Callithrix jacchus: one gene and its partners. The protein of the gene in region 2 purifies or fractionates together with the protein of the main gene of each other region. This does not show direct contact. Links are inferred from orthologs where the notes say so. Each region holds a gene or a part of one and is shown on either strand. Other genes may lie near its edges.

Region 1 (9,523 bases), on a different chromosome or scaffold from region 2:
GGAACTTGTTAGAGTCAGTTCAGGTAACAGTAAAAAACACAAACCCTGGAGCCACGCTGCATCGGTTCAAGTCCTGGTTCTGCCATCAGTAAATGTGCCATCTCAGGCACATTTCTTTCAGTCATCTAGTCATCACGCCTCTTTGTGCCTCAGTTTCCCTGATCTTGAGAGGGGAAAAGCTAACCCTACCTCATAAGGCTGCTTTGCCAAGTAACTAAATGAATAAGATACATGAAGTGCTCAGAAGAGTGCTTTGCACACAGTGAGCACTCAAAGCTGTTAATGTTGCTGTTATTCTTATTATTATTACCCAATTACTACCCAGTGTGTGCCCACAATTCCAGGCAGGGACACTTAAAGGAGATTTTAGGAAACTATACTGAATGATAGTGCCAAGATTCCCAAACTACCCTCCCACTGTGGGAAAAGGTTACCAAGAGAGAGTTACCTCTAGGATAAGGATAATGCGGCCACTGGCAAGGCCCATCAGCAGGTGGGTGAGGTGGGCATAACCCTCAGGTGATATCTGGCAGCCCCCCAGCGGGTCCCCCCGTGCAGCGTCAAAGCCAGCTGAGACCAGCACCAGTTCTGGATTAAACTGAGGCAGGGAGAGAAGAGACGTATAAGCATGAGGGTAAGGGCTTTTGGTAGGCAGTAAGTGGTGGTGACAAGGAGACATGGATGGAGAAAAGGACAAATGAAGACATGGAGATGCAAATCAGAGAGATGGAGACACGGGGCCTGAAGACTGGGAGATGCAAAAGCAGAGACTGAAAATGAAGAGAGGAAGAAGAGAAATATAGACTCAGAGATAGAAGAAACAGATGCAGATCTAGAAACATGGAGACAGCAAAAATGGACAGATGGGGACATGAGACAGAGTCATGAGACCAGACTCAGATGTCAAGAGACTGACATGAGAAATGGAGAGACAGAGACATGTCCTCACACACACACCCCAGGGTCAAACGTGGGACACACATACACAAGATACAGGGTTTTATGTACATAGTGCCAAAGAGGGGTGCTCACACACTTCCATAACAGAAGATGGCAACGCAAGCACCACACACAGAGAAGATGGTCACACAAAGCCACGTGTAATCCCACACAGACAGTCCCATATAGAACAGTACTACATATCTGCACTAGTCATGCGCACACATACATACATAGTTTCTTAAAAAGGACAATAACCCACAGCCATCCTGCAGTCACAATCATACACATGCCATCACCACACAGCCACAACAGCCACATGCACTCTGGTGTGTCCACAAGAGCTGGTCACTTGCACATACAGTTGTATACACACAGAAGGCTGTCCTGGCCACCCATGCATAGTCAGATGCACGTGCAGATCCAAAGATGCACACTGGCACCCAGGGTGACAGAGCAGTGCTCACACCTCCTTCCCCTCCCTCCCAGGGTCAGCCATACACAAGCCACTGACCCCCCCGCCCCACAGCTCACACAGAGGGAAGGCAGCTACCTCCCAGTCAGAGACACATACACAAACAGCCAGGGCAGACAGTCAGACAGTGACTGCTGTCACACACAGCCCTCCACATCCAGAGGGTCCCATACAGGCTGTCATAGAGATGGCTGCATTTAGTGACATACAATATCACATCCATCGCACAGAGAAAAGGTGGTGAGAAATACCCACTTGCACAGAATTGCACACACATACTAAAGAACTTGTGATAGCACACATATACAACACAGATCCAGCCAGGACACAGGCCACTGCTGCATAGCCAGAAGGCCCTCACACACACAGGCAAGACAGTCACTCACACAGTGTCACACAGAGAAGGCAGTCCTGTACAGCCACCTGTGTGGTCAAACACACAAGGTAATCACAGTCATCAACTGCCCCAGTAGCCTCATTAGTCACCCTTGGGCTGTCTCATATGATCCGCCACCTGGCAGTCAAACGCACACATGCTGAGGAGGCAGGCCCAGGCTGCCACCTGCACAGGTGTATCACATACATCCTGAGATCTACACTGAGCTTTACCTCGTAGGCAATAGGAAGCACCAGGCGATGCCAGGCAGCTAGGTAGTCAGCATCACCTATGCGGGGCCCATTCCATGCCACGTTGACGGTGAAGCCTGTGCCTGCAGCCCGGCCGATCTGGCTGCTGGCACCCTCATCTCCCATGGGGAAGAAGGTGCCATGATCGTAGCGGTGCAGGGACACATAGAGTACACTGCCGGGGAGGGGGTGGGAAGGGGGCCATAGCTGGTTAGGGGCTCCAATACCCCTGAGGTGCTCACCCATCTCCCTGACCACACCACAGCCCCTGACTGCAGCATCTTACCTGGGGTCATCCTCAAACATGTGCTGAGTTCCATTACCATGGTGGACATCCCAATCCACGATCAGGATCCTGGGTAGGAAGGAGGCAGAAGCTCAGTAACCTAGGATACTCACCCCGTGGAAGAGGGCTGGGCTAGACCCCTGGGGTCTGCAGAGATATTTAGTGTGGAGTGGCAGGACACTGGGTCCTGTCAGTTAAGGAGAAAAGTATGATCCTGGGGTCCCAAGGGCTGTCTCGTAGACCCGAGCAAGTGCTTGGGGCTGGACCTTGGGCTCTTTTGGGTCATTGCTAGGGAACTGGACCTTGGGCTCTTTTGGGTCATTGCTAGGGAACTGGACCTAGACCTCGGGCAGCTAATGCTGGGGGCTGAGTTCTGGGTCTTCTGGAGTATGCATCGGGAGCTTGGACCTGGGTTCTGTCGAGACAGCTTCTATAGGCCAGAAATGCTAGGGTGGGACCCTGGATCCTGGTGTGTGTTTGTTTGAGATGTAGTTTCGCTCTTATTGCCCAGGCTGGAGTGCAATGGCATGATCTCAGCTCAACTGCAACCTCCGCCTCCCGGGTTCAAGCGATTCTCCTGCTTCAGCCTCCTGAGTAGCTGGGATTACAGGCATGCACCACCACGCCTGGCTAATTTTTGTATTTTTAGTAGAGATGGGTTTCTCCATGTTGGTCATGCTGGTCTTGAATTCCTGACCTCAGGTGATCCACCTGCCTCGGCCTTCCAAAGTGCTGGGATTACAGGCGTGAGCCACTGTGCCCAGACCTGGATCCTGTTTTATAAGCACCCAGGTGACACGATCTGGGGGCCCTATCTAAATAAGTACTGAGAGGCTCCATCCTCGGTCCTTCTCTGGGTAAAGGTTGCACCCTTACTTCTTTCTGGGGAAGTCCTAGGAGCTGGACCATGGGGTATGATGAGTAAGCAATGGGGTGGGGGGAGCTTCCAGATCTCCACAAGGATCAGGATTTGGGGGTCCACAGGGAGTCCTTACCGCAGGGCATGCCCACTGATAGCCTGGGCATGGCGAGCAGCCACAGCCACAGAGTTGAAAAAGCAAAAACCGCAAGCTGCGTCCTGCTCCGCATGGTGTCCTGGGGGACGCACCACAGCAGCACCATTCAGAACCTAGGGAGCAGCAGGGTGCTAAGGCTGGACAGCCTGCCCTCAAGCTTGTCCTCCTTCCTTGCTTCCCTTTTTTATTTTTATTTTTGACACAGGGTCTGTCTGTCACCCAGGCTTGAGTGCAGTGGCACAGTCATGGCTTACTGCAGCCTTGACCTCTTGAGCTCACCCTGGCTTCTCAAATTGCTAGGATTATAGGCCTGAGCCACCGTACTTGGCCATCCTTCCCTTCCCTTTCTCCAGTTCCCTCCATTATGTCCCCAGCCTCTAGGCCTGCCCCTTCTCGTGCCCTTCCCCATGGCCCCTTTCCTCAGGCACTGCTTGACTCTCTCAGAGCCTTCAGAAACAGCAAGTGACCCTTTTTCTTCTATTCTCCCTCAGGTCCTCCTCTTCCCAGCCCACAGAGCACGCACCTCTCCTGAGAGCACAGCCTCCACCAGGCGGCAGGCAGCGCCAGTGGCAAGCTGTGCACAGGCAAAGGTGCTGGGGCAGATGTAGATGGAGTCAAAGTTGGAACTCTCCCGGTGCAGCTCCCGGGTTTTCATCTTCTCTGTGGCCCGGAGACGAGCTACATACTCAGCACTGGAGGCACAGAGAGGAGCACCAGCAAGACAGTGAGGAGGGTTCGTCCCCTTCCTGAGCCCCACCCCCAAGATAGGAACTTCAGCTCCTTTCAAGTCCTGTAGCAGCTCCCCAGTGGGGAGGAACTCCAAGCTCCAATCCCTGAGACCTCCTCCACAGTCCTGGGAACCCACCCACCCTAGACACTGGGGTCTGACCTGTGGCAGGTGAACAGCTCAGCCTCTGTGGCGGGGCGCGGTGGCAGGGTGAGGCAGCGCCCAGCAAGTCCCAGCTCCTCCAGACGGCACATGATTCGCAAGATGCGCTGGGGTACCTCAGGGTGGTGGCTAGCGGTGGGGGAACCAGAGGTAGGGGCTTAGTGCCTGAGAGGGAGGAATCCCCAACACCTACTCACCCAGCCCTCCAACTGCCTACCTGTCCCACAAGTTGCAGTGATTCATCATACTTTGGTCATAGACCAGCCCTGTGCGAGACTGTAGCACCGGCCATGTCAGGATTGGAAGCACTGGGGGCTCCCAGGGTCTTTCATCCTCGCTCTCCTCTATATTGTCCTCCTCCACGTTGTCCCCTTCCACAGTATCAGCTATAAGGGGGAGGCCACGTTCATCCTACCCTCTCAATCTGAATCCCCGTCATACTCTGGAACTCAGGTGACCCAAACAGAAAAAGGGTGGGAGGTCTGAAACCAGGGCCCAGGGAGACAGAGGGCCTGACCCTCTCCCACCAAGATGGCCTAAGAAAGTCAGAGGAAGTCTGAAGTCTCCCCCAGGGCTCATCCTATGCCCACCCCCACCAAGCCCACTCCCCACTTCCTACTTGATCTCACAAGAACCTCCCAGAAGGGCTCAAGGGCTTCCAGAGCACAGGAGACTGAAGCCTGGGCACTACAGGGCAGGACAGGAAGAAAATATGATGCAAAGAAACGTGGGCAGCCAGTGAGGCTCCTGCTTTCCCCTCCTCCACCTGGGCTCACCTCCGACAGGGGGCACCAGGGGACTCCAGCATGGGGCAAGGATCTCCCAGAAGGGTGTGAAGCGAAGCACTGACGCCTTCAGCCAGGGCGCGGAGGTTGTAGCCACCCTGGGGGAAGGAGTTGTGAAGGGGGGTCAGTAAAGGACCAGAAATTACCAGGGAATAATAATAATAATGATAATAATAAGAGAGTGCATACCAAATGTCAAGCAACAAGGAACTTAGAAGGGGACCTCACTGAATTCACTGGACAATGATATGAGATGATTACCATTATTATGCTCGTTTTACAGAAGGAAAGCGGAGACACAAAGAAGTGAAGTGACTTATGCAAGGCTGTCCAGCTAGTAAGTGAAATGCTCGGCCAGGAACTCCTGTTGGACTTGAAAGCTTCGTTCTTAAGCCCTCCAGGATCCACAGGCTGAGGGACAAAGGTGAGTCACTCACCTCCAGAGACAGGATCAGCTTGCCTCCTGCCAGACCCATGAGCAGGTGGGTTAGCTGGGCGAACCCTGCTGGAGTGGCGGCCATCTCACCCTGGGGGGACATGGAGGGTCAGCCTGGCTCCATGCAGCCCACCTGCTGCCCCAGGGAGCCTGCCTTACCTTGGGGTCCCCTTGCAGGGCATCAAATCCAGCAGCCACCACGACCAGCTGAGGCTGGAACTGAGGGGGGAATGTACTCCATGAGGCTACCTGCCCTCATGGCCCAACTTTCAAGGTCTCTCCTCCCCTCAACACACCCCAGACCCCCAGGACCTCAAGGGTGACTGGCAGCAGGACGTGTAGGAAAGCAGCAATGTAGTCAGCATCCCGCATCCCCACCTGCAGACACAGGAGTGTGACAGGGGATGTTCAGCCACCTGCCCTGAGCCACAGGCAGAAGGGCGAGGCTGGGCCTCACTTTGGGGGCAGAGGGTAAGTGGATACTGACCTGGTTCCAAGGCACATTGATGGTATATCCTTGGCCTTGGCCAAAACCTATGGTGGACCAGTTAGAGGCCTTCAGGTGGGGCCAGAACCTACCCTGCTCGTAGCGGTGGATGGAGAAATAGAGGACACTGGGGGCAGAAGAAAAAGAGGTAAGAGAGTTGGAGAAGAGTCAATCCCCATAGACACCCTCAACCCAACAGTTGCTAATTTCCTCTACCACTCATTTCCCCATTCAACGACTCATTCATTCTCTCATTCATTAATTTCTCCATTAATATATAATACATGAATCCATTCTTCCATTAGTTTACCCTTATATTCAGTCACCAATTTACCCATCTTACCATTTATTCATTTTTCCCCTTATTTATCTGTTACCTCATTCACTCATTCACTTAGTCTCTCACCAGAACCTTTCCCTCAGCAAATATCACTGCCCCCTCAGTGCCCACCCAATTTCAGGCTCAGCTCTAGGGTCTATCCCAGATCCTGGGGGCTCCTGACTCTGTGGGGTACTCTAGATCATGTTCACCCACCATATGCGCCTATGACCAAGGCAGTAACAGCAGGTCAAACTCTGTGACACTGGAGGCTCAAATGGTGCATGGGGCTCTTAGCTGGGGGGAGCCAGCTAAGGCTGAAAAGAACCTCAAGCCAGGCTGCAGGAGCTGGGTGATTCTCTAGAAGGAAGTGGAGAGACCTGGGGGGTAGGGGTGAGACTTGCTTCTGTGGGTGAAACTGGAGAGGGGATACTGGCTGGGGCTGCCATGAGGCCAGTGAGAGGGCAGTTCCCTCTCCCCAGTGCCTTACAGGCCACCTCTACTACTTCTTTTATTTTACAGGTGAACCAGCAAGCACTTAAGAGGGGTGAGATCAACACGCAAAACAGATACTGAAAAGATGCAGTGCACATGCTTTGACAGAATGCCCAGCAAGGGGCCATGGGAGGGCTTAATTCTGACTGTGGAAAGCAAAACGAATAATCTATCATCCATCTCTCCTTCTATCTGGTCATTTACCCCTGCCTTGTCCCAGAGAGGATCCAAGGCAGCTTTTTTAAGGAAATCCAAGAAATAGTGGTATGCAATGTATCTAAACAAATTAAGAATCACGTTTTAATGTGTTGATAATGTAGTTGTAAAATTTAATGCAAGTGATATAAAAAGATTCTTAAAATTGAGGGAAAAGATCTTGGAATTTGGGAATAAAAACATGGAAAAGCTCTGGTCTTGAGTGGGTGAAGGATGATTGTTTTATTTTTGACATTGATAGATAAATCTTGATTCTAAACTTTTAGTAAGTTAATCATAAGAGAAAGAGAAGCACAGTAGGACATAAAAATTATGAACAGGGGGCCGAGCTCAGTGGCTCACACCTGTAATCCCAGCACTTTGGGAGGCCAAGGTGGGTAGATCACTTGAGGCCAGGAGTTCGAGACCAGTCTGGCCAACATGGTAAAACCCTATCTCTAATAAAAATAGCAAAAAATTTTCTGGGCATGGTGGTGTGAGCCTGTAATCCCAGCTCCTTGGGAGGCAGAGGCAGGAGAATCACTTGAACTCGGGAGGCAGAGGTTACAGTGAGCCAAGATGGGGCCACTGCACTCCAGCCTGGGTGACAGAGTGTGACTGTCTCAAAAAAAAAAAAAAAAAAAAAAAAAGAAAAAGAAAAAGAAAAAAATTATCATCAGGGGAAGACAGGAATAAAGAAAAGATCTGAAGAAAGCTGACTCTAAAAGAGAGCCATCAGAATCAACAAAGAGCAGAACTAGCACTCAAGGAAGCTACGTTTATAAAGAAACAGAAGGGAATTTTAAAATAAGTTTATACACCTTCAAATTAAATGGTGGATTGATAGTACGGGTTTACCTCCTTACACTCCTACCACTCTGGTCAAAATACAGTAAAGATATTGTAAATAAACAGCAACCCAAAAAGACAGAGAGTGGAAGAAAGGATGTCAGAGAATAAGAGACTTCAGTGAATTTCTAGAAAGTAGAATTTGAGATTCCAGGGGCCCCAGGGTGCTCTGTCTCATGCAGAGAAGGGGGCACCAAAGATAAACTGAAGTTTCCCTCCTAGAGAAATCCAGTACAGATCCAGGTCAATGCACACAAAACCCCTTCTGAAGAGCCAATTCACTGAATCACCAATGCACCAGCCACTTCTTTCTTTTAACTACTTAGTTTTAGATCATCTGTTTTCCTTGTCTTCACAACAGCATTTTAAGGGCTGCCTAGTTTGTCTCCCTGCTGCTGGAATTCAGAGACAGAGATGTGGAGCTGGGAGACCTAAGAGCATGGACATGCTTTTTTTTGTTTGTTTATACATTTTTGTTCATAAGGAACAATGTACTGAATATATTCACAATGTTTTACATCTGTGTGTGTAGTCAATAATGTACCCACAGGCTGGGTGCAGTGGCTCATGCCTGTAACCCCAGGACTTTGGGAAGCTGAGGCAGGTGGATCACCTGAGACTGGGAGTTCAAGACCAGCCTGACCAACATGGAAAAACCCCGTCTTTATTAAAAATACAAAATTAGCCAGGCATGGTGGCACATGCCTGCAATCCCAGCTACTTGGGAGGCTGAGGCAGGAGAATCACTTGAAACCAGGAGGTGGAGGTTGTGGTGAGCCAAGATCGTGCCACTACACACCAGCCTGGGCAACAAGAGTGAAACTCCGTCTCAAAAAAAAAAAAAAAAATACTGTACCCACAAAAGAACAAACAGCTATAGCCTCCTATGCATTTATTCAAACAAAAAGAATGATTAATGATATTAAAGGATTCTTTGGATGGCAGAGCCTAGGCAGAATAATTCTTGTTAATTTTCAGATATGATACTTAGGTAATGCTTTTCTTAAAAAGTATACTTATGTTTTAGAGATGCATTCTGGAATATTTACAGAATTATGTGGTATCTGGGATTAGCTTTGAAGGAAAACAGGAAGAGGGCAGTGTGTACAGGTATAGATGAAATGAGATTGGCCAATGAGTTGATAAATGTTGAAGCATTCAATTCCAGAAGCCAGAAGTGAATAAAAAAATGAACACAGGAGAAAAAAATTAATAAAGATAAAACCAGAAAAATTAATGAAGTCTAAAACATTAAAATAAAATTAAAAGTATAAAACCACAGTTAAACAGTAGAGATGACCAACAAAGCCCAAAGCTAGACTGGAAAACAGATACACCTTTGACAAGGCTGAGGGAAAAAAGAGACATTACCCCAAGAAGAGGCCTCCTTTGATCTAACGTCTGGCAGGATCCCATCTAATGCCTGGGTCCTTACCCACCCTTGCTAAAGTTGCACCCTGTCAGTGGACATTCTCTGTCCCCGTTCTGAGGAAATGCCTTTCAGAAAAACAGACCCACAAACACCGCAGCAGAGTAGTCCTCTGACAGCCCCCTACAATGGGCCTTCATTCTTGGGTTTAAAAAGCCAAATAAAGATGGCCAGACATTTGAGGAAAACCACCAGTACGAAAGAGAAGGACCAAGAAAAAATAATTCAACCAGCCTCAGAATGAAGAGACATAATTCAGACAACAGAAGAAACTTAAAGCACTTCCTATTTTTTTT
Region 2 (10,323 bases):
GGCTCACCGCAACCTCCGCCTCCTGGGTTCAGGCAATTCTCCTGCCTCAGCCTCCTGAGTAGCCAGGATTACAGGCACACGCCACCATGCCCAGCTAATTTTTTTTATATTTTTAGTAGAGACAGGGTTTCACCATGTTGAACAGGATGGTCTTGATCTCTTGACCTCGTGATCCACCCGCCTTGGCCTCCCGAAGTGCTGAGATTACAGGCGTGAGCCACCATGCCTGGCTTTTTTTTTTTTAAATCATATTCTTTCAGTCTTAAACCAAGAAGATATCAAGGTCTTCAGCAGCCATAATTGTTCTTGTGCTTTCTGGATTTGAAATCTACATTTTCTCATAGGTTAAATCCTCTATTTACATTCTCTGTGCCTACAAGTCCATTACGTGTATCCACAATACTTGAATATAAACCATGCCAAATGCTATAAACTTGTATCCTTTTACAAATGTTGCCACTTTATCTTCATGTACTGCAGACTTCTGCCACCAATGCATACAGCTTCTTGTCTGCTCGTTGACCACCGTGAATTCTGGTCCTACAACTTTTTCCTATCACAATAGGGCTGCAAATACTCCTACAGCCGTTTTCCCAGGACATTTGTCAACAAGGCTAGAGTGCAGTGTTGCAGTCACAGCTCACTGCAGCCTCAACCTCCTCAGCGTCTCAAATAGCTGGGATTATAGGTGCTTACCACCATGCCCAAATTTTTGTACATTTTTGTAGACAGGGTTTCATCATGTTGCCCAGGCTGGTCTGGAACGCCTGGGCTCAACTACCTGCCTTGTCCTTGTGCTAGGATTACAGGCGTTAGCCATCATGTCCTGCCAAGGATCACTCTTAAATTTCCTAATTACATTAACAAGGTTAGCCAGCCACTTTAAACAGCAATTTACATGATACTCAAAAATTACTTATACTTCCTATGCAAAACCCATTAGCAACTACCCATACTTTGAAAAGCTAAATGAGCTCTATAACTTTCATGTGTTTCCCCACCCCCTAAGCAAGGTTTGAGGTGGTAAACAGAATCTAGGGCTCCTGCCTTTCCAGTTCCCTGAGCTCCCTTTTCCCTACAGTGGTGCCTGCACAGAAGTAGGACCCTTGACATTACCAGAATATTGCAGACTCTTTACTCCAAGTGTAGATGAATCCCAAAAACTAAGGCACTTTTAGAAAAAACACAGGAGACAAAGCTTTTGAAGTTAATGACTTTACTTTGAGACATGATGGAAAAACTACAGGTACACATGGAAGACATGGTAACTGAGTGAAAACAATCTAACCAGAAAGCTTTAATGCCTGTCAGCTAAGTTGAAGCTGAAATTCTGGGAGCATGACATGCTGCAGGGCCAAAAGGAATGGATAATTAGTATTCTTCGCCTTCTTCTTCACCCTCTCCTTCAACAGAATCCACACCAACCTCCTCATAATCCTTCTCAAGGGCAGCCATGTCCTCACGGGCCTCTGAAAACTCTCCTTCCTCCATCCCCTCACCCACGTACCAGTGAACAAAGGCACGCTTGGCATACATCAGGTCAAACTTGTGGTCCAGGCGAGCCCAGGCCTCAGCAATGGCTGTGGTGTTGCTCAGCATGCACACAGCTCTCTGTACCTTGGCCAGGTCTCCACCAGGCACCACAGTGGGAGGCTGGTAGTTGATGCCAACCTTGAAGCCAGTGGGGCACCAATCCACAAACTGGATGCTGCGCTTGGTCTTGATGGTGGCGATGGCAGCATTGACATCTTTGGGAACCACGTCACCACGGTACAACAGGCAGCAAGCCATGTATTTACCATGGCGAGGGTCACATTTCACCATCTGGTTGGCTGGCTCAAAGCAAGCATTGGTGATCTCTGCTACAGAAAGCTGTTCATGGTAGGCTTTCTCAGCAGAGATGACAGGGGCATATGTGGCCAGAGGGAAGTGGATGCGGGGATAGGGCACCAGGTTGGTCTGGAATTCTGTCAGGTCAACATTCAGGGCTCCATCAAATCTCAGGGAAGCAGTGATGGAGGACACAATTTGGCTAATAAGGCGGTTAAGATTAGTGTAGGTTGGGCGCTCAATATCGAGGTTTCTACGACAGATGTCATAGATGGCCTCATTGTCTACCATGAAGGCACAATCAGAGTGCTCCAGGGTGGTGTGGGTGGTGAGGATGGAGTTGTAGGGCTCAACTACAGCCGTGGAAACCTGGGGCGCCGGGTAGATGGAGAACTCCAGCTTGGACTTCTTGCCATAATCAACTGAGAGCCGTTCCATGAGCAGGGAGGTGAACCCAGAACCAGTTCCCCCACCAAAGCTGTGGAAAACCAAGAAGCCCTGGAGACCGGTGCACTGGTCAGCCTATTACAAAAGAGAGGAACAGAGGAAAGATTAAGTTTTTGTTCTTCGTAGTACAGTCATAGTAAATATATTTTCATTTTTCACATATCTCCCAGGACTTAAATCTTATTTTAACAAATGCTTTTTAGAAAATTCTCATTAACATTTACAAAATGACACAAAATAGTTCATTTTAACTGAATTTTTAAAACCCCAAAGGAATAACTCATTCCACTCTTTACTAAAATAACAGTTCAATTCTGTGTTTAAAAAAAAGAACAAACAGCATTATGGCCGGGCGGGGTGGCTCATGCCTGTAATCCCAGCACTTTGGGAGGCCGAGGCGGGTAGATCACGAGGTCAAGAGATCAAGACCATCCTGGTCAACATGGTGAAACCCTGTCTCTACTAAAAATACAAAAAATTATCTGGGCACGGTGGCACGTGCCTGTAATCCCAGCTACTCAGGAGGCTGAGGCAGGAGAATTGCCTGAACCCAGGAGGCGGAGGTTGCAGTGAGCCGAGATCGCCCCATTGCACTCTGGCCTGGGTAACAAGAGCGAAACTCAGTCTCAAAAAACAAAAAAAATCCCCAACAAAACAGCATTATTTCAAATGTCCTTTTAAGGCAGATTAATTTACTTTATTCTTGAAACATACCAGTTTACGAATTCGGTCCAACACGAGGTCAATGATCTCCTTGCCGATGGTGTAGTGCCCTCGGGCATAGTTATTGGCAGCATCTTCCTTGCCTGTGATGAGCTGTTCAGGGTGGAAGAGCTGGCGGTAGGTGCCAGTGCGAACTTCATCTGGAGGAGGGACAGGAGGACAGAAGGACTGGGTGAGTGAGCGAGTAACCAGCAGATCCCCCAGGACAGACCTCCTGTCCCAGCACCCTGGGATCTCACTTGGGTTACCGAGGCCAACTCACCAATGACCGTGGGTTCCAGGTCTACAAACACTGCCCGGGGCACGTGCTTGCCAGCACCCGTCTCACTGAAGAAGGTGTTGAAGGAGTCATCTCCTCCCCCAATGGTCTTGTCACTTGGCATCTGGCCATCGGGCTGGATGCCATGTTCCAGGCAGTAGAGCTCCCAGCAGGCATTGCCAATCTGGACACCAGCCTGGCCAACGTGGATGGAGATGCACTCACGCTGTGGGAGAAAAAAATACATCACAACTTAATCTGTTGGTGACTGTCAAGTGAAACAAAATACTCATGCAATCTTTATTTTTAGTGATAAGTTCTGTTGCTTAGGTTTGAGTGCAGTGGTGCCGGTTCATCGCAGCCTCAACCTCCTGAGCTCAAGTCATCCCCCATGCAATCTTTATTTTTAGTGATAAGTTCTGTTGCTTAGGTTTGAGTGCAGTGGTGCCGTCCAGGTTCATCGCAGCCTCAACCTCCTGAGCTCAAGTCATCCCCCTACTCCAGCCTCCAGGGCAGCTGGGACCACAGGCACAGGCCACCACGGCTGGCTTATTTTTTCTTTTTTGGAGGAGATGAGTCTGGTTATGTTACCCAGGCTATCACATAATCTTAAAAAAATTTTTTTTTCTTTTTTAAAGCGACATAAGATGTATTACTCTTTTGAGAACAGCTACATTATAGGGTCTATATCGCTTTTAACGCATGTTACCTTCCCATTAATAAACGGGGAAGGCCTTCTTCCAGATCACGACAGCTTAGTCACAGCTTCCTCCTTTGGAGGACCAAGACAGGAGGGTGGGCATCCATCCAGCGCTCCGGCCCCAGAATCCCACTTTAGATTGAGTGGCCACATTTCCGGGCAGCTCCTAGCACAGGAAAAGCACGTGGCCAGACCAGCGCAGAAATGTCTGTCCGCAGGGACAAGGGGTGGGGCTATGCGGCACAGGATGAATGAGCAATTCAGGGCGCGCGCTCCCGCGCCCCCCGGGGGCGCTGCAGAGGCACGAAATGGCCACGTCTGCAAAGGCGCTGCCCAGGCTGCCCATCCTCCCTTGCCTGCCGGCATCGAGCTCAGCCTAACACCTCCACAGCAGTCTGAGCGCAGTAGGGGATTATCGGCGGCCCAGATCTGAACCAAGATCCGATTTCCGTTCCCTCAAAATCCCTCACTGGCACCACCTGCTCCCCAGAATTCCCAACGCAGCAGGGAGAGACAGGTGGCCTCTAAAGGCTGTTGTGAACTAAGTGTCCTAATACACTGGTGTAGTGCGGTACACTTCCTCACATTCCTCTTATTGCATTTTTTAATTTTTATTTTTTGAGATGGAGTCTGGCTCTGTCGCCCAGGCTGGATTGCAGTGGCACGACCTCTGCTCACTGCAACTTCCACCTCCCAGGTTCAAGCGATTCGCCTGCCTCAGCCTTCCGAGTAGCTGGGACTACAAGGCGTGCACTACCAAGTCCGGCCAATTTTTGCATTTTTAGTGGAGACAGGGCTTCACCATGTTGGCCAAGCTGATCTCAAACTCCTGACCTCAGGTGATCCACCCCGCCCGGCCCCTCTTACTGCTTCCATTTAAAAAAAAAACCCTCAGGTCAACAAGAGACACGCCCTGAAGCCGTAGTCGCGCCGCCACCAGCGCGCATGCGCAGACCGCAGTGGTGGTTTCCCGCCCTGCAGCGGCGGGAAGGTAACGGTCGCGCGTGCGCGCTTTTGTCTCCAGCGCCTTCCCACCCCCGCTTTTCGCGATCAAGAGGAAGTGAGGGCTAGAAGAGTCGGCGCGCGCGTCCACCCAAGGCGGGGGAAGGGCATGCGCTGTAAAGGACTGCTGGGACTCGAGGTGCCGCGCCCAGGACAGAGTTACGCGCTAAAAGAGAGCTCCGGATAAGGCGGAGGGCTGAGCCCTCCCATCCCTTCCAGAGTCTGAGAAGAAATCCTGGCGCCCCTCAACCTTTCCGGGCCCCCGCCATTTACAAAGACCGAGGTCTCACGACTCCGGATCTGGCATCTCGTCCCGCTTGCCGCCCTTCAAACGGACGGCTCTGGGGCCAGCCTTCCCCCGCTGTATACAGGCTCCCCCACACCCCGCCGACTCGCGTATCCCTGCTGCCCTGAAAGCGGCCGGCAGCCGCGCGGCCCACTCACCATAGTGGCTAGGGATTAGGAGGCGAAGGCGACAGGAGGAGACACCGGGTCCCGGTTACCGTCCCCGACAAGCTAAGAGTCGAGGTAAGTAACGCACTGGGGCGGGGCGAGCGCTGGAGCCTCTTAAGTAGTGGCTGCGGAGGGGCGGGCGGGCACAGGCGGTGCCGCGGCCGGGAGCCCCTCCTCCGGCCCGGCGCGCCCACTCGGCGCCAGGCCTGGCCGCCGCAAAGGCGGGCTCCAGCCCCGAGCCCCCTCCCCTCGCGTGGCCGCGGGGCGGGGTCCGCCGCGCCTGCGGGCCGCGCGCGCCAGTGCTGCAGTGTGCGGCGCATGGCTGCGAGGGCCTGGCGGGGGGGCGGGCGCGAGTCGGAAAGACACCGATCGCGGAATGGGCGAGGAGGCTTGCCTTAATTCGCAGGAAGCCTAGGACTTGGGAGAGCCATACAATTTGAAAGATGAGGCACCGTGAAATGCAGAAACTTGTGGTTCGGATAGCTCAGCTGATTAATTTCATGTTGCCACTGTTTGTGAGTTTTGCCTTTTTATTTTCTCAGTTCGTTCTGTGCTTACCTGATAATGTGAAAAACACGAGCTTTAGAAAACCGAGTAGGTGTACTTGGTTTACTGTAATGACTTGTTCTCGAAAGTTAGGGTACCAAACGCTGGAGGCAAATAATATTTCAGTCATTCGAAGAACAGTGCCCGAGCATTTAACATTGAAGCTGTTAAAAGGGCAGAGTAGGCCCGAATTTTGGATCGAAGCCATCAACTTTATGGAACAGTCCTAGGGGCTTTTTGAAAAGGAGATTTAAAAACACATTTCAGAGGTGATAGCCGAGTTAAGGAAGTGAGAAAAAACTTGGATAGGGAGGAAATAAATGGACACTGAAGGATGTTAGGAAGTAGGGATTCCTTGTGCAACTTAGAGTTTTGTAAATAAGACTGCTTGGCCTTATGTCAAGATACATCAGTTGGTTATAGCTTAGCGCTTGGAGGCCTACGTTATAGTAGACTAGTTCTCCCTCCGCCCCGCCCCTTGAAAATCTATTTCAAGACCATAAACCACATTGCTAATCCTTGGAAATGCAGAAGAAGGTGGTTAGGTTTAAAATGTGGCTTTAAAATGGTCCTAGCAGAAACCTATTGATGTTACTATTCAAAATATCTGCCCAGTATATAGGAAACAAAAAGGTAAAACCTAAAACACTAGAAATTCATAGTTCATCTTCAGTTATTAGCCTATTAAGATTTGGTAAAGCCTTCATCCTTCATTTCAGACAAATAAATTTATGTGGTTAATAAGTGTGTATTTTGTAATGAGTTATGTGTGTGTATGTGTGTGTGTGTGTGTCCACCCATCTGAACTTGACCTGCAAACCAGGAGGTTCTTGTTTATTTCTGGTAAATATTTTTGATAGTCTTATTAAAGGCATTTAATTCAAAAATCCAAATTTGCACACATTTTTCCAGCTGAGTAGAGAAGGCTGGAATGTTTGAATATTGAATATTCAATTCAATATTCAGTTCTCACTTATTTTTTCCTCTTATTCTTTAAAAAAAAAATTAAGCCAGTTAAATTTAGAAGTGGGGGGTTGTATACCAATTTTAGTGACACTAATGTTAATAAGTTCTGATAACCCACTCCCATTGGACCACCCCCATTGTTACTTTTTCTTAAAAGGAGTCTGAAAATAATTAGTTTGCTTTAACTGGAAGAACGAATGTTAGGGAACCACCCTGCTGAACTCCATTTTGCTGTCAGCTCTGGATAAAAGCTATTTTATCCAGAAAAGCTATCTCTGTGCAGAAATTTTGAATAGTTTAGGAACCAAAATAGGTTTCTAGACATTCTGAAGCCACCCTTCTACCCTAACCACCTTACGTATTTCCAAGGATTAGTGATGTAGTTTATGCTCTTGGAATAGATTTTTCTGGGGGAAGGGAGAACCTCCCTTGTAGCTCTCTGCAGATTATCAGAGTCACTACTGCAGGGATTTGCTCCTGTGGGCCTATATGTCTCCCTAGATACCTTTCTAAAATTATTAGCTTTGTTATCTCTGTATTCCCCTGTAGTGAATAAGGAAGTATTTTGTTTTTGTTTTTGTTTTGTCCTTAATAATACGTCAGATTTCACAGAATAATCAAAGTAAAAGAGAACTTTATTTTTTGACCGAAACTCTGTATCCAAAAAAAAAAAAAAAAACAAAAAACCATATGTTGTTATTCAGTATTTGAACATCTGAACATTTTGTTGTCTAAGGAGTTTGTTCTTGCCGGCATTATTAAACTGCTTCCTTAGCTGTGAACACTGTATGACTGTGGGTTGTGTCTGGAAAGGAATATGATTTGCTAGTTGTTTTTGTTTTTTTTTTAATTAGCTTCTCATTTTCTTATACTTGCCTCAGTTTCCTCATCTAGTTTTAATATGGAATTGATTTTGAAATTGTGTTACCCAAGCTCTTTTTTTTTTTTTGATAAGGATTCTCACTCTGTCGCCAGGCTGGAGTGCAGTCGTGCGATCTCAGCTCACTGCAACCTCCGCCTCTTGGGTTCAAGCGATTCTCCTGCCTCAGCATCCCGAGTAGCTGGGACTATAGGCATGTACCACCATGCCCAGCTAATTTTTGTATTTTTAGTAGAGACAGGGTTTCACCATGGTTGCCAGGATGGTCTCGAGCTCTTGACTTTGTGATCTGCCCATCTTGGCCTCCCAAAGTGCTGGAATTATGAGCTGTGGTGCCTGGCTTTTTTTTTTCTTTGAGACAGAGTTTCACTCTTGTTGCCAAGGTTGGAGTGCAGTGGAGTGATCTCGGCTCACTGTAACCTCCACCTCCTAGGTTCAAGCGATTCTCCTGCCTCAGCCTCCCAAGTAACAGGGATTACAAGCACCTGCTACCATGCCCAGCAAATTTTGATATTTTTAGCAGAGAGGGGGTTTTACCATGTTGGCCAGGCTAGTCTTGAGCTCAGGTGATCCTCCCACCTCGGCCTCCCAAAGTGCTGGGGTTACAGGCACGAGCCACCGTGCCTGGCCAAGTTACCCTAGCTCTTATGTTCCTGTTTCCCTAACATAATACCTCCTCTACTTATGAGAGAACTCCTAATATTAAGGGGAGATGAAGGTCATTTTTTGTAACTTCTTCCTGCTGAGAGTGGACATTGATCTTTGGGATAGGATTCTCTCATAAGGATTTGCAGTCAGCTTCACGATGTTCTGATGGTTCTTTTCTTTGTTCTTTTTTTTTTTTTTTTGGACAAAGTTTTGCTCTGTTGCCAGGCTAGAGTGCAGTGGCATGGTCTCAGCTCACTGCAACCTCCACCTCCCAGGTTCAAGGGATTTTCCTGCCTCACCTTTCTGAGCAGCTGAGAGTACAGGTACACACCGCCATGCCCAGCTGCTTTTTTTTTTTTTTTTGACACAGAGTCTTGCTCTGTCACCAGGCTGAAGTACAGTGGCGCAATCTCGGTTCACTGCAACCTCTGCTTCCTGGGTTCAAGTGATTCTTCTGCGTCAGCCTCCCAAGTAGCTGGGACCACAGACACGTGTCACCATGCCCAGCTAATTTTTGGATTTTTAGTAGAGACGGGTTTCACCATGTTGGCCGGGATGGTCTCGATCTCTTGACCTCGTGATCCGCCCACCTCAGCCTCCCAAAGTGCTGGGATTACAGGCGTGAGCCACCGCACCCAGCCTAATTTTTGTATTTTTAGTAGAGACAGGGTTTCACCATGTTGGCTGGGATGGTCTTGATCTCTTGACCTCGTGATCCACCCGCCTTAGCCTCCCAAAGTGCTAGGATTACAGGTGTGAGCCACCACACCTGGTGATGTTCTGATGATTCTGTGGGCATAGCCCTGCCCAGTATTGGAGAAGTAAAAATCTCTGGATGTCTGATCTGTGGTACCTAAAGGCAGGATGTCTGTATTTCTCAGGTTAGAAGATGGTATGGGTTGGAAGCCTTCTGCCAACATAATCTTTATGTGGGATTGTTGTAATCTAGTAGACACAAACTTCACCAAAGTGTTAAACAAGCAAGGGCCAAAGACTAGTAATAACAAGATAGCGATCAAAGGTCCTAGGAAGAGGAAAAACCAGTTGAGACTCAGGAGGGTGCTTTTTTTTCCTTTTTCTGTTTTTCTTTTCCCCCAGGTAGGGTCTTGCTATGTTGCCCAGGCTTGATTGAACTCCTGGCCTCAAGTGATTCTCCTGCCTTGGCCTCCCAAAGTGCTGAGATTACAGGCCTGAGCTACTGAGCCTTGTCTAACCTCTAAATCTCTACTTTTATAGGAGGTTTTTTTTTTTTTTTTTTTTTTTTTTGGAGACAGTGTCTTGCTCTGTGGCCTATGCTAGAGATGGAGAGCAGTGGTGTGATCATGGCTCACTGCAGCCTTGACCTCCTGGCTGAAGCTATCCTCCTACCTCAGCCTCCCAAGTAGCTTGGACTACAGGTGCCCAGCTAATTTTTGTATTTTTATAGAGGACAGCCATGTTTCCCAGGCTGGTCTCGAACTCTCCTTGCAGGCATTATTAAGCTGCTTCCTGTGGGGCACAGTGGCTCACACTTGTAATCCCAGCACTTTCGGAGGCCAAGGCGGATGGATCACCTGAGATCAGGAGTTCAAGACCAGCCTGGCCAACATGGTGAAACTCCATCTCTACTGAAAATACAGAAATTAAACAGGTGTGGTGGCAGGCACTTATACTCCCAGCTATTCAGGAGGCTGAGACAGGAGAATCACTTGAGCCGGGGAGGCAGAGGTTGCAGTGAGCCGAGATTGCACCACTGTATTCCAGCCTGGGTGACAAGAGCAAAACTCTGTCTCAAAAAAAAAAAAAAGCTACCTCCTTAGCTGTAGACATCTTTTGACCATGGATGATGGCTGGCAAGCAATGTACCTTGCTAGTTTTAAGATGGAATTG
Region 3 (10,176 bases), on a different chromosome or scaffold from region 2:
CTGTTGCCCAGGCCACAGTGCAGCGGCGCAATCCTGGCCCACTGCAAACTCCGCCTCCCAGGTTCAAGCGATTCCCCTGCCTCAGCTTCCCAAGTAGTTTGGAATACAGGCACCGACCACCATGCCCAGCTAATTTTCATATTTTTAGTAGAGATGGGGTTTCACTGTGTTGGCCAGGCTGGTCTCAAACTCCTGACCTTGTGATCTGCCTGCCTCGGCCCCCCAAAGTGCTGGGATTACAAGCATGAGCCACCACGCCCAGCTAGCACCCCTAAATTTCTAAACACACTTTATTATTATTTTTTTTGAGATGGAGTTTGACTCTTATCACCCAGGCTGGAGTGCAATAGTGTAGTCTCAGTTCATTGCAACCTCTACCTCCCAGTTTCAAGCAATTCTCCTGACTCAGCCTCTTGAGTAGCTGGGATTACAGGCATCTGCCACCACGTCCAGCTAATTTTTGTAATTTTAGCAGAGACGGGGGTTTCCCATGTAGGCCAGACTGGTCTTTAACTCCTGGCCTCAGGTGATCCACCCGCCTCAGCCACCCAGAGTGCTGGGATTACAGGTGTGAGCCACCACACCCGACCATTAGTATTTCATAGTATTGTACTACCTACCTTGTATCAGTTTCAGATTTATGTTTCATCTCCATAATCTCAATCATGAAGAGATCAACAGGCTCATCTTGTTTCTTAATGGCCAAAATGGAGTCCACTACAGCCTGTAACAGGAGGAGCATAACCATTAGGCAAACCCAGTTTGCAGCAGTAGAAACAGGTTGCTTTTCAGAAGGCTGAAGCGGACAGTCCCTTCATTTCATAACCTCTGCACTGGTCTAAGTCTTTTTCTATGAGCAGAGAGAATACATTACTTGTAAACAACTGAAGTCATTGACATTTCTGAAAGCTCAATCTGTAATTTCCAGAGAATCACTAACATTCCTGTTTTACTAAAAACACTGGTAACCGGAAGCTTTGCAGGAACAAAATCTCCACTTTATAAACCTTTTAATGGAAGCTCCAGTTTTACTTTTATCGTTAGGTATACTATTATTTGAATTTCCTCATTTCAGTTTAGAGACACAGATTAGGTATCATTGCCACAAAAATGAACCTACATAGCGCCTTAGAATTGAATGGGTAAGTATACTCATGTTTCTACTATCAGAGATTTGCTACAGGTGAACTATAACAGACACAGACAAAACTTCATGCACACCTCCGTTAAGACATCTGCAAGTTCAGCATGAACTTTAGTACGAAGAGACGTTCTGGCCACATCGATAAGTGTTTCCCTGTCCATCTCTTTGCTCACTTTGACTTCTTCCAAAAACTGAAGGGCCTTTTCCTTTGCAGCTTCAAATCCTTCAGTAATTATTCTGGGATGAAGGCCCTAAAACAAACACACAATAACACTTTCATCTTCAATTACCTGCAACTATAGTTCATGATAAAGTTCAGGTAATGTTTGAAGGGATACTCTGGATCATCATACCTTTGAACACGAGGTTATATCATGTGCTGGCTTTCTGAATACATTTAAAAGGATAAACATTCCTTTCAATGCAGAGGAGAAGAACAGGCAATGCTCTAGCACAGGGTCAAGGCCAAGGGAACTATAAAGCACACTTGGGTGTTCACTGTGCAAACCACTCCGAATCATGTCAAAACCGACACTGCATCCCAGCCCACAGACGGCAGCATTAGTCTACCTTTTCTAGGAGTAATCTCAAACGAATTCACATCATTTACTAGACTCTCTGCTCTCTTTTTCCAGGAAATTCTGACAATAGATTCATACTCACTGAGGTTTGTTTTAACCTTGGAACTAGGCAGGGCTAAAAAAGTGGAATTTATCCAAATGTAGGCTTTTGGTTGGCATTTTCGTAACAAATAAATATGCATAGTCCTAAACATCCCATTTTTAGATCGCAATTATTCATCTACATTAAAGAAAGAAACAAATCACATAGGCAACGCAACTTGATTACAAAATTATTTTCAGGCCAAGAAAGGTTCCATAACCTGTCCAAGGTCACATTTGTTTTAGACCAAGACAAAGGCCCAGATTTAAGCCCCCTAATTCTACTGTATGGCCTCAGCTACTGTTAACAGCACTTCCATTTGTATACGTAAGTATCAGACACTTCCCATATACAGTAAAATAATATAGAAACAAGAGTTGTGCATACTTCAGAAACGTAGAGGTCCGCTTGTTTCAGCAGCTCTCCAATGATCAGGACGTTGGAAGTCGTACCATCACCAGTTATATCATCCTGGGCTGTTGCTACCTTTGCTATTAAGGAAGCTGTTGGGTGCTGAATTTGCTGAAAGTAGAAAAAAAAGGAAGCACTTAAAACAATATGAAGCAGTCTAAATACACCACAAACAAAATGCACGAAGGGCCTCTCTAAGTATAATCTACATGAAAAAGCTACCCAAGTGTCTGGCTACAAGTTACTTCAATTAAAAAGTCACAATTAGCTATCATGCACATGCAGTTATAACCATCAAAACATTTTCATGTGCAATTTATTTCCCAGATTATCTACTTTACAGATGAGGAAGCCTGAGGCTCAGTAAAAGTTTACTCAAGATGACAGAGCTAACAGTTAACAGTAACACATTTTACATCCTTGCCTCTTTATGGCAAGTGTAGGGCTCTGGTGAGAATAAGCCAAGTACCTCTAAAAATAAAAGCTCAACAGCCTCCACTATTACTTTGTAATGACCAACTAATTTATTTTTTTGTTGTCGTTTTTATTTTTATTTATTTATTTATTTTGAGACGGAGTTTCGCTCGTTACCCAGGCTGGAGTGCAATGGCGCGATCTCGGCTCACCGCAACCTCCACCTCCTGGGTTCAGGCAATTCTCCTGCCTCAGCCTCCTGAGTAGCCGGGACTACAGACACACGCCACCATGCCCAGCTAATTTTTTGTATTTTTAGTAGAGACAGGGTTTCACCATGTTGACCAGGATAGTCTCGATCTGTTGCCCTCATGATCCACCCTCCTCGGCCTCCCACAGTGCTGGGATTACAGGCGTGAGCCACCGCGCCCGGCCCTGTTTTTATTTTTGTTCTTTGTGACCAACTAATTTAAAAGGAAAGGTTACTTGTAGTAGCTCACACCTGTAATCCCAGCACTTTGAGAGGCCAAGACAGATGGATCCTTTGAACTCAGTAATTCAAAACCAGCCTGTGTTACATGGCAAAACTGTTTCTTAAAAAAAAAAAAAAAAAAAAAAAAAAGCCAAAAAAACAGTATTCAGAGGTAAAATGGTGTATCTGCAACTTACTTTTAAACGATTCAGGGGAAAAATAGAAAATAACTGGAGCAACATATAAACAATAGGGGAATCTAGGTAAAGGGTACACACATTATAATTATCACTTTTGGCCGGGCGCAGTGGCTCAAGCCTGTAATCCCAGCACTTTGGGAGGCCGAGGCGGGTGGATCACGAGGTCAACAGATCGAGACCATCCTGGTCAACTAGGTGAAACGCTGTCTCTACTAAAAACACAAAAATTAGCTGGGCATGGTGGTGTGCACCTGTAGCCCCAGCTACTCAGGAGGCTGAGGCAGGAGAATTGCCTGAACCCAGGAGACAGAGGTTGCGGTGAGCCGAGATCGCGCCATTGCACTCCAGCCGGGGTAACAAGAGCGAAACTCCGTCTCAAAAATAAATAAATAAAATAATAATTATCACTTTTGTAGGTTTGTCATTTTTTCAAAAAAAAAAAACTGAAAAACAGATTTCTGGAGACTAGAGAGAAGTGTTGTGGGAGGGGAATTCTGAGGTGACAGCAACGATTTATTTCTTAGCTACAGTGGTGGTGCCTGTGTCCATTTTATAATTATTTCTTTTTTCTTTTTTGTTTCTGAGAGTGAGTTTTGCTACCATTGCCCAGGCTAGAGTGCAATGGTGTGCTCTTGACTCACTGCAACTTCTGCCTCCCGGGTTCCAGCAATTCTCCTGCCTCAGCCTCCTGAGCAGCTGGTATTACAGGTGTGCACCGCCATGCCCCCAGCTAATTTTGTATTTTTAGCCAAGACGGCGTTTCTCCACATTGGTCAGGGTGATCTCGAACTCCCGACCTCAGGTGACCCACCTGCCTCGGCCTCCCAAAGTAGTAGAATTACAGGCATGAGCCACCATGCTCAGCCTATAATTACTTGAATTGTGAATGTTCAATGTGCTTCTCTCTACTTATGCTGTATTTCTCACACTAAAATCCAAATTTAATATACATATATATATATTTTTTGGAGACCGTTTCACTGTCACTCTGTCACCTAGGCTGGAGTGCAGTGGCACAATCTCGACAGGATTTTGCCCTGTAGCCCAGACTGCTTTTGAATTTCTGAGTTCAAGGAATCTACCTGCCTTGGTCTCCCAGAGTGCTGGGATTACAGGCATGAGTTACCACACCTCACTTTTCCTTTTAAATTATTTGGTCACTGCAGAGTAACAGTGGAGGCTGTTGAGCTTTCATTTTAGGAGGTACAGTTGTAAAATCTGGGTAAAAAATGCAAAACAGAAACTCCACCTCCTAAGTCAGCAAGTCCATACAAAGATATTTCAGCTGGATATCGGTGACATGGTATACTACTAGAAAAACCTTAACTATTACTCTGAACTCAAATCCGCAGGAAATAATTTCCTTTTCTTGGATTTGAATTGCTAAGTTTTGGGAATTTAGGGAAGAGTAAAACGCATACTCCCCTCAATAATCTATATTCTCCATTCCTCAGACTTTTAAAATGTTAAATCAGAGAGACAGATTTCTCTCCCTTCCAGTTGGAGATGCAGATGTAACCGAGAAATTGGTATTTTCATAAGAGAAAAACCGGCCAAGCATAGTGGCTCACACCTGGTAACCCCAGCACTCTGGAAGGCTGAGGCAGGTAGATCACCTGAAGTCAAGAGTTCAAGACCAGCCAGGCCAACATGGCGAAACCCTGTCTCTACTAAAAATACAAAAATTAGGCCGGGAGCGGTGGCTCGGGCCTGTAATCGCAGCACTTTGGGAGGCCAAGGCAGGCAGATAACAAGGTTATGAGTTCGAGACTAGCCTGGCCAACATGGTGAAACTTCATATGTACTAAAAATACAAAAATGTAGCCGGGCGTTGTGGCATGTGCCTGTAATCCCAACTCCTCTGGAGGCTGAGGCAGGAGAATCGCTTGAACCCAGGAGGTGGAGGTTGTGGTGAGGGGAGATCACGCCATTGCACTCCAGCCTGGGCGATAGATCTAGACTCTGTCTCAAAAAAAAAAACATAAAAAAACAAAAATTAGCTGGGCATGCTGACACGAGCCTGTAATCCCAGCTACTCAGGAGGCTGAGACAAGAGAACCGCTTGAACCCTTGAGGCGAACATTGCAGTGAGCCGAGATTGCGCCCCTCCACTGTATCTGGGCGACAAAGTGAGACTCCATCTTAAAAAAAAAAGGAAAAGAAAAAAACCACCCTTAAGCATCTTGCCCATGTGATTACGTCAACACCACTCCATTTTTCAAATTTTCTTATAATTAACTTTCATATACAATGACAGTCCTTTAACTCCGACTGTAAATGGCAAAAAAAAAGTAGAGATTCAAAGGCAGGGCTGTCCCACTCCAGGCACTGGCAGCACTATTACGGATTACACGCCACTTCTGAATGCTCTCCTGCCTTGAAAATGGACATTGCCAATCTTTCTACAAAGCAAACATTGTTCGGAAAATCAAGACCTTTCTGACCCAGCAGAGCACCTCTCACCATTTCGTGAAGCAGCACGTTGCCGTCTTTAGTAAGCTTGATGTCTCCGGCGCCAGAAACAAGCCTGTTTTAAGGGGAAGAAATGAATCAGACTGATTTTTCAACAAAAACTAAATTTAAAAGTCCCATTAGAAAACAGGCTTTTCCCAGACGTTAGGGAGCCGGGGATAGGGGGGCCAGTTATCTCCCGCAGGCAGGAGGACGGCAGTGCCCACCCTGTCCCAGCAGAGATTGTGCCGAGTCTTCAGGGTGCCTGGAAGCCCCAGAGGGAGGGGAACGCCGCGCACTAGAGCCGCTTTGTTCTCCACGGAGACGACATCGACGCAGGGAGAAATGGCCGGGACGGTGGGACTTAGCAGGGAACAGGACCGATCAGGAAGGACGGAGGAAAAGGTGGCTGCGGGGCCCTAGTCCGCGGTCCCGGGGCCGCCAGGTCGGCGGCGGCGCGCGATGCCCGCTCGGCCCTTCCGCCAGCCCCGCCTTACATCTTCATGGTGCCCTTGGGCCCCAGGTTCGTCCTCAGCACGTCCTGCAGGCCCCGCGCCGCGCTGATGTTGACCGCCAGCGCCGCCTGTGCTCGGGCCACCTCGGCCTTGGGGTTCAGGGTCTTCACCGCCGCCATATCGGCTCCAGTGAAGGAAAAGGAAGCGACACGGCGTGCGGAAAGCTCAGAGCCGGCGCGGCGTGGCCGGGAGGCACTATCCGGGTCTTCTGGAAAAGTCGGCGCGCCCGGCCCGCCCCCAGCGTGCCCGCGCGCCGCCGTCATTGGGCCAAGGGTCGTCCGGCGCCCGCTGATTGGTCCGTGGCTGTACAGCGGTTGAGGTCCCACCCCTCGCGCCGCAGTCCGGACGTCATTGCGCACGGGAGGGGTCCGGCAGTCCACGCGGTTAAGTGGGGCCCGGCTTTGCGGACCCAGGAGGTCGGGACGCAAGCTGGGCTTGTGCTCCGCTGGGGGCAGGGCGTAGGGTGGGCCTTCTCCCGCCCTTACTCGCGCTGTCTGCCCCTCAGTCTCCTTCCCTTGCTGTTTTTTTTTTTAAGGTGGGGTTTCACCATGATGGCCAGGCTGGTCTTGAACTCCTGACCTCAGGTGATCCACCCACCTCAGACTCCCAAAGTGCTAGGATTACAGGCGAGAGCCACCGCACCCGGCTCCCTTGCTGTTTTTATGCTTTTCATTGGCGCTTTCTGGACCGTGCGCTTGACGGTGCCCTAGGTGCCATGGGGACACAAAACGAGACTGATAAGCACCCTCCCCCGGGATCCTGCGGTGCTGTAAGGCCCAGCAAAGATGACGATAGAAAGGTGGAAAGTGCCGGATGCCTTTAGAAAGCTGCAGAACTGGTGCAATGGGTGTCGAGACCTCAGAACCTGTCCATCCGTTAGGGCTCAGGATGCTGCTTAGATGCTGGGTCCTCATGGCAGATTTGAAAACAGCCTTGTAGAGTCACGGTGTCCAGCCTTTGAGAGGCCTCCCTTTTAAGGTAAATTTCCAAAGAGCTCCACAGTTGTTCCCAGTATCCACTGTCCTGCCAAATACCAGTGATTCGGTAACACGTGATGTGTCATTTTTGTAAACACAGGGTCTCACTATGTTGCCCAGGGTGGTCTCAAACTCCTGAGCTCAAGTGATACTCCTTAGCTTCAGTCATCTTCCCACCTCGGTCTCCCAAAGTACTGGGATTACAGGCGTAAACCACCCCGGCCAGTATTTTATTTTTATTTTTATTTTTATTTACGTATTTATTATTTTGAGATGGAGTCTTGCTCTGTCGCCAGGCTGGAGTGCCGTGGCGCGATCTTGGCTCACTGCAACCTCTGCCTTCCGGGTTTAAGCGATTAGCCTGCTTCCCAAGTAGCTGGGGCTACAGGCACACGCCATCACACTCAGCTATTTTTTGTATTTTTTTTTTCCCAAATCAGCATTTATTTACCCACTGAATTCCAAAACATTTATTTTAGAAGTCTGGCATTTCATAATCACCCACCCATCTTGATTGACATGGGCTGACACACATGGCGCTGTCAGGATACACAAGGACAGTAGCCAAAGAGTTACAAAAAATAAATCTATGATTCTTTTTTTTTTTCTTCTTTTTGAGACGGAATTTCGCTCTTGTTACCCAGGCTGGGGTGCAATGGCACGATCTCAGCTGACCGCAACCTCTGCCTCCTGTGTTCAGGCAATTCTCCTGCCTCAGCCTCCTGAGTAGCTGGGATTACAAGCACGCACCACCATGCCCAGCTAATTTTTTGTATTTTTAGTAGAGACGGGGATTTCACCATGTTGACCAGGATGGTCTCGATCTCTTGACCTCGTGATCCACCTGCCTCGGCCTCCCAAAGTGCTGAGATTACAGGCGTGAGCCACCGCGCCCGGCTGGGGTGAATTCATTTCTGCCTGCACAAGATGTACTGCTTAATCAAACACTATCAGCTTGTTTTAAATGGATCTTTTAAATATCAACGGCAGCCTCTGCTGGCTAATTCTCTCCCCGCATTACTTTCGCCTGGATTTCCCATAGATCAACAGGCACAGTGAAGTGCCTCATCAGAACACAGCGCTCTGCACAATTCACAGAGGGAGCCCCTGTGGGCTGAAAGCAACCGTCAGTCCAGCAATGCCCATGATTTATCTGAAACTGCTTCCCAAGAGATGGGTGCAGATCTGAGTAGCTGTGCTAACAATACAGATAGGTTTAGCACTGGATATTTAGTGATTGTGGCAAGGAAGAATCGGTGATGATGGGGGTGGTAGGTGAAGGAAGGGCCAGGGGACCTGAAGGATCTTCAGTTGCCTTCTCCTGCTTCTTCTTCCTGCTGGTCGCTCGTCCAGAGGGTGAGGTTGTCTCGCAGCAACTGCATGATGAGCGTGGAGTCCTTATAGGAACGCTCATTTGGTGTGTGCAGCTCAGCTATGGCGTCGTCGAAGGCTTGTGTGGCTAAGAGGCAGGCTTGCTCGGTCGGGTGCCTTCTGGATCTCGCAGTAGAACACAGAGAAGTCGAGGGCCAGGCCCAGCCGAATGGGGTGCGTGGGCTGCATCTGCTCTTGGCTGATTTCAAAGGCTTCCTTGTAGGCAGGTTCAGAAGCTTCGACCACACTGCTTTTCTTCTCCCCAGAAGCGCCCTCTGCTAAGTAGCCCTAGTAATCACCTTTCATTTTCAGGTAAAACACCTTGCTCTCATACTGGAAATCACTGCAGTTCTTGACCAGGAGCTTGTCAGGCAGAGGCAGAACATCATTGCAAACTGTCTCCAGGTCCTTCTCAATCTTCCCCAGGTAAGCTTTAACCTTCCCCAATTTCTTTTCCTTTCCATCAGCCATGGTTTTCTGCTCAATGCTGCTAATGACCCTCCAGGAGGATCGCCTGGCACCAACTACATTCTTGTAAGCCACAGAGAGATTTCGATCTTCATTGGAGAGAGGTTCATCCGGCTCTGTCACCACCTTCATGGCGGAGGCCATGTCGTCGTAGCGCTCCACCTGCTCGGCCAGCCTTGCCAGCTGCAGCAGCTGCTCCCGGTCCCCCATGTCACTCGTGGCTCGGCCTCGCCTGGCGCCTCACACTACTGGCTCACTCACTTGCCCGCCAGTCCATCCGCTCTTCGGCCGCACGGAGGCCGTCCTATTTTTTGTATTTTTAGTAGAAACAGGGTTTTACCTTGTTGGCCAGGATGGTCTCCATCTCTTGACCTCGTGATCCGCCCACCTCGGCCTCCCAAAGTGCTGGGATTACAGGCGTGAGCCACCGTGCCCAGCCTGTATTTTATTTTTAATAGATAATGGAAATTGTTCTGAATTCAAAAGGCACCAAAGGGCATGTGGTGAAAATTAAATCTTCCTCCCGCCTCTAGTTCTACACTAGAGACAAGCACAGTTACCCCTGGACACTCTGAATTTTCAGAATGATTTCTGAATTTATAAACTTACGCCTGGATGTAATCATTTACCCACACAAAGGGCAATTCATAATACACTGTAGGGTGTGTTATACTTTTATTTTATTTTTTGAGATGGAGTTTCGCTCGTTACCCAGGCTAGAGTGCAATGGCGCGATCTCAGCTCACCGCAACCTCCGCCTCCTGGGTTCAGGCAATTCTCCTGCCTCAGCCTCCCGAGTAGCTGGGATTACAGGCACGCGCCACCATGCCCAGCTAATTTTTGTATTTTTAGTAGAGACGGGGTTTCACCATGTTGACCAGGATGGTCTCGATCTCTTAACCTCGTGATCCACCCGCCTCGGCCTCCCAAAGTGCTGGGATTACAGGCGGGAGCCACCACGCCCGGCCCATATTCTTTTAGGTGTTTTGGAGATTGTGGCATATCAAGACTAATGGGAAGTCCTTGTTAATAGGTACGTGATGTTCTTTGGGGCCAGGGCGCAGTGGCTCACGTTCTAGGGATCATTTGT

The links.
Region 1: the proteins of tubulin alpha-1B chain (region 2) and HDAC6 purify together in Homo sapiens (affinity purification with western blotting; 4 studies listed by BioGRID, with this or other methods). This does not show direct contact. The link is inferred for Callithrix jacchus from reciprocal best matches to the Homo sapiens genes TUBA1B and HDAC6.
Region 3: the proteins of tubulin alpha-1B chain (region 2) and CCT6A purify together in Homo sapiens (affinity purification with mass spectrometry; 3 studies listed by BioGRID and IntAct, counting the BioPlex papers as one, with this or other methods). This does not show direct contact. The link is inferred for Callithrix jacchus from reciprocal best matches to the Homo sapiens genes TUBA1B and CCT6A.

What each region holds. Positions count from the first base shown.
Region 1 is NC_133524.1:49,392,056-49,401,578, reverse strand, and holds part of HDAC6 (protein deacetylase HDAC6), read right to left. Parts: intron 6,068-9,523; coding exon 5,941-6,067; intron 5,832-5,940; coding exon 5,766-5,831; intron 5,673-5,765; coding exon 5,613-5,672; intron 5,545-5,612; coding exon 5,455-5,544; intron 5,116-5,454; coding exon 5,009-5,115; intron 4,920-5,008; coding exon 4,852-4,919; intron 4,619-4,851; coding exon 4,450-4,618; intron 4,362-4,449; coding exon 4,233-4,361; intron 4,036-4,232; coding exon 3,867-4,035; intron 3,457-3,866; coding exon 3,323-3,456; intron 2,397-3,322; coding exon 2,328-2,396; intron 2,217-2,327; coding exon 2,024-2,216; intron 599-2,023; coding exon 449-598; intron 1-448.
Region 2 is NC_133510.1:70,420,428-70,430,750, reverse strand, and holds tubulin alpha-1B chain, read right to left. Parts: upstream 5,504-10,323; 5' UTR 5,409-5,503; coding exon 5,406-5,408; exon of another isoform or gene 4,999-5,405; intron 3,486-4,998; coding exon 3,263-3,485; intron 3,141-3,262; coding exon 2,992-3,140; intron 2,353-2,991; coding exon 1,372-2,352; 3' UTR 1,200-1,371; downstream 1-1,199. UniProt on the Homo sapiens protein: Tubulin is the major constituent of microtubules, protein filaments consisting of alpha- and beta-tubulin heterodimers. Microtubules grow by the addition of GTP-tubulin dimers to the microtubule end, where a stabilizing cap forms.
Region 3 is NC_133503.1:2,640,444-2,650,619, forward strand, and holds the start of CCT6A (T-complex protein 1 subunit zeta), read right to left. Parts: upstream 6,481-10,176; 5' UTR 6,390-6,480; coding exon 6,253-6,389; exon of another isoform or gene 5,983-6,252; intron 5,832-5,982; coding exon 5,768-5,831; intron 2,330-5,767; coding exon 2,195-2,329; intron 1,651-2,194; exon of another isoform or gene 1,517-1,650; intron 1,396-1,516; coding exon 1,222-1,395; intron 725-1,221; coding exon 621-724; intron 1-620. UniProt on the Homo sapiens protein: Component of the chaperonin-containing T-complex (TRiC), a molecular chaperone complex that assists the folding of actin, tubulin and other proteins upon ATP hydrolysis.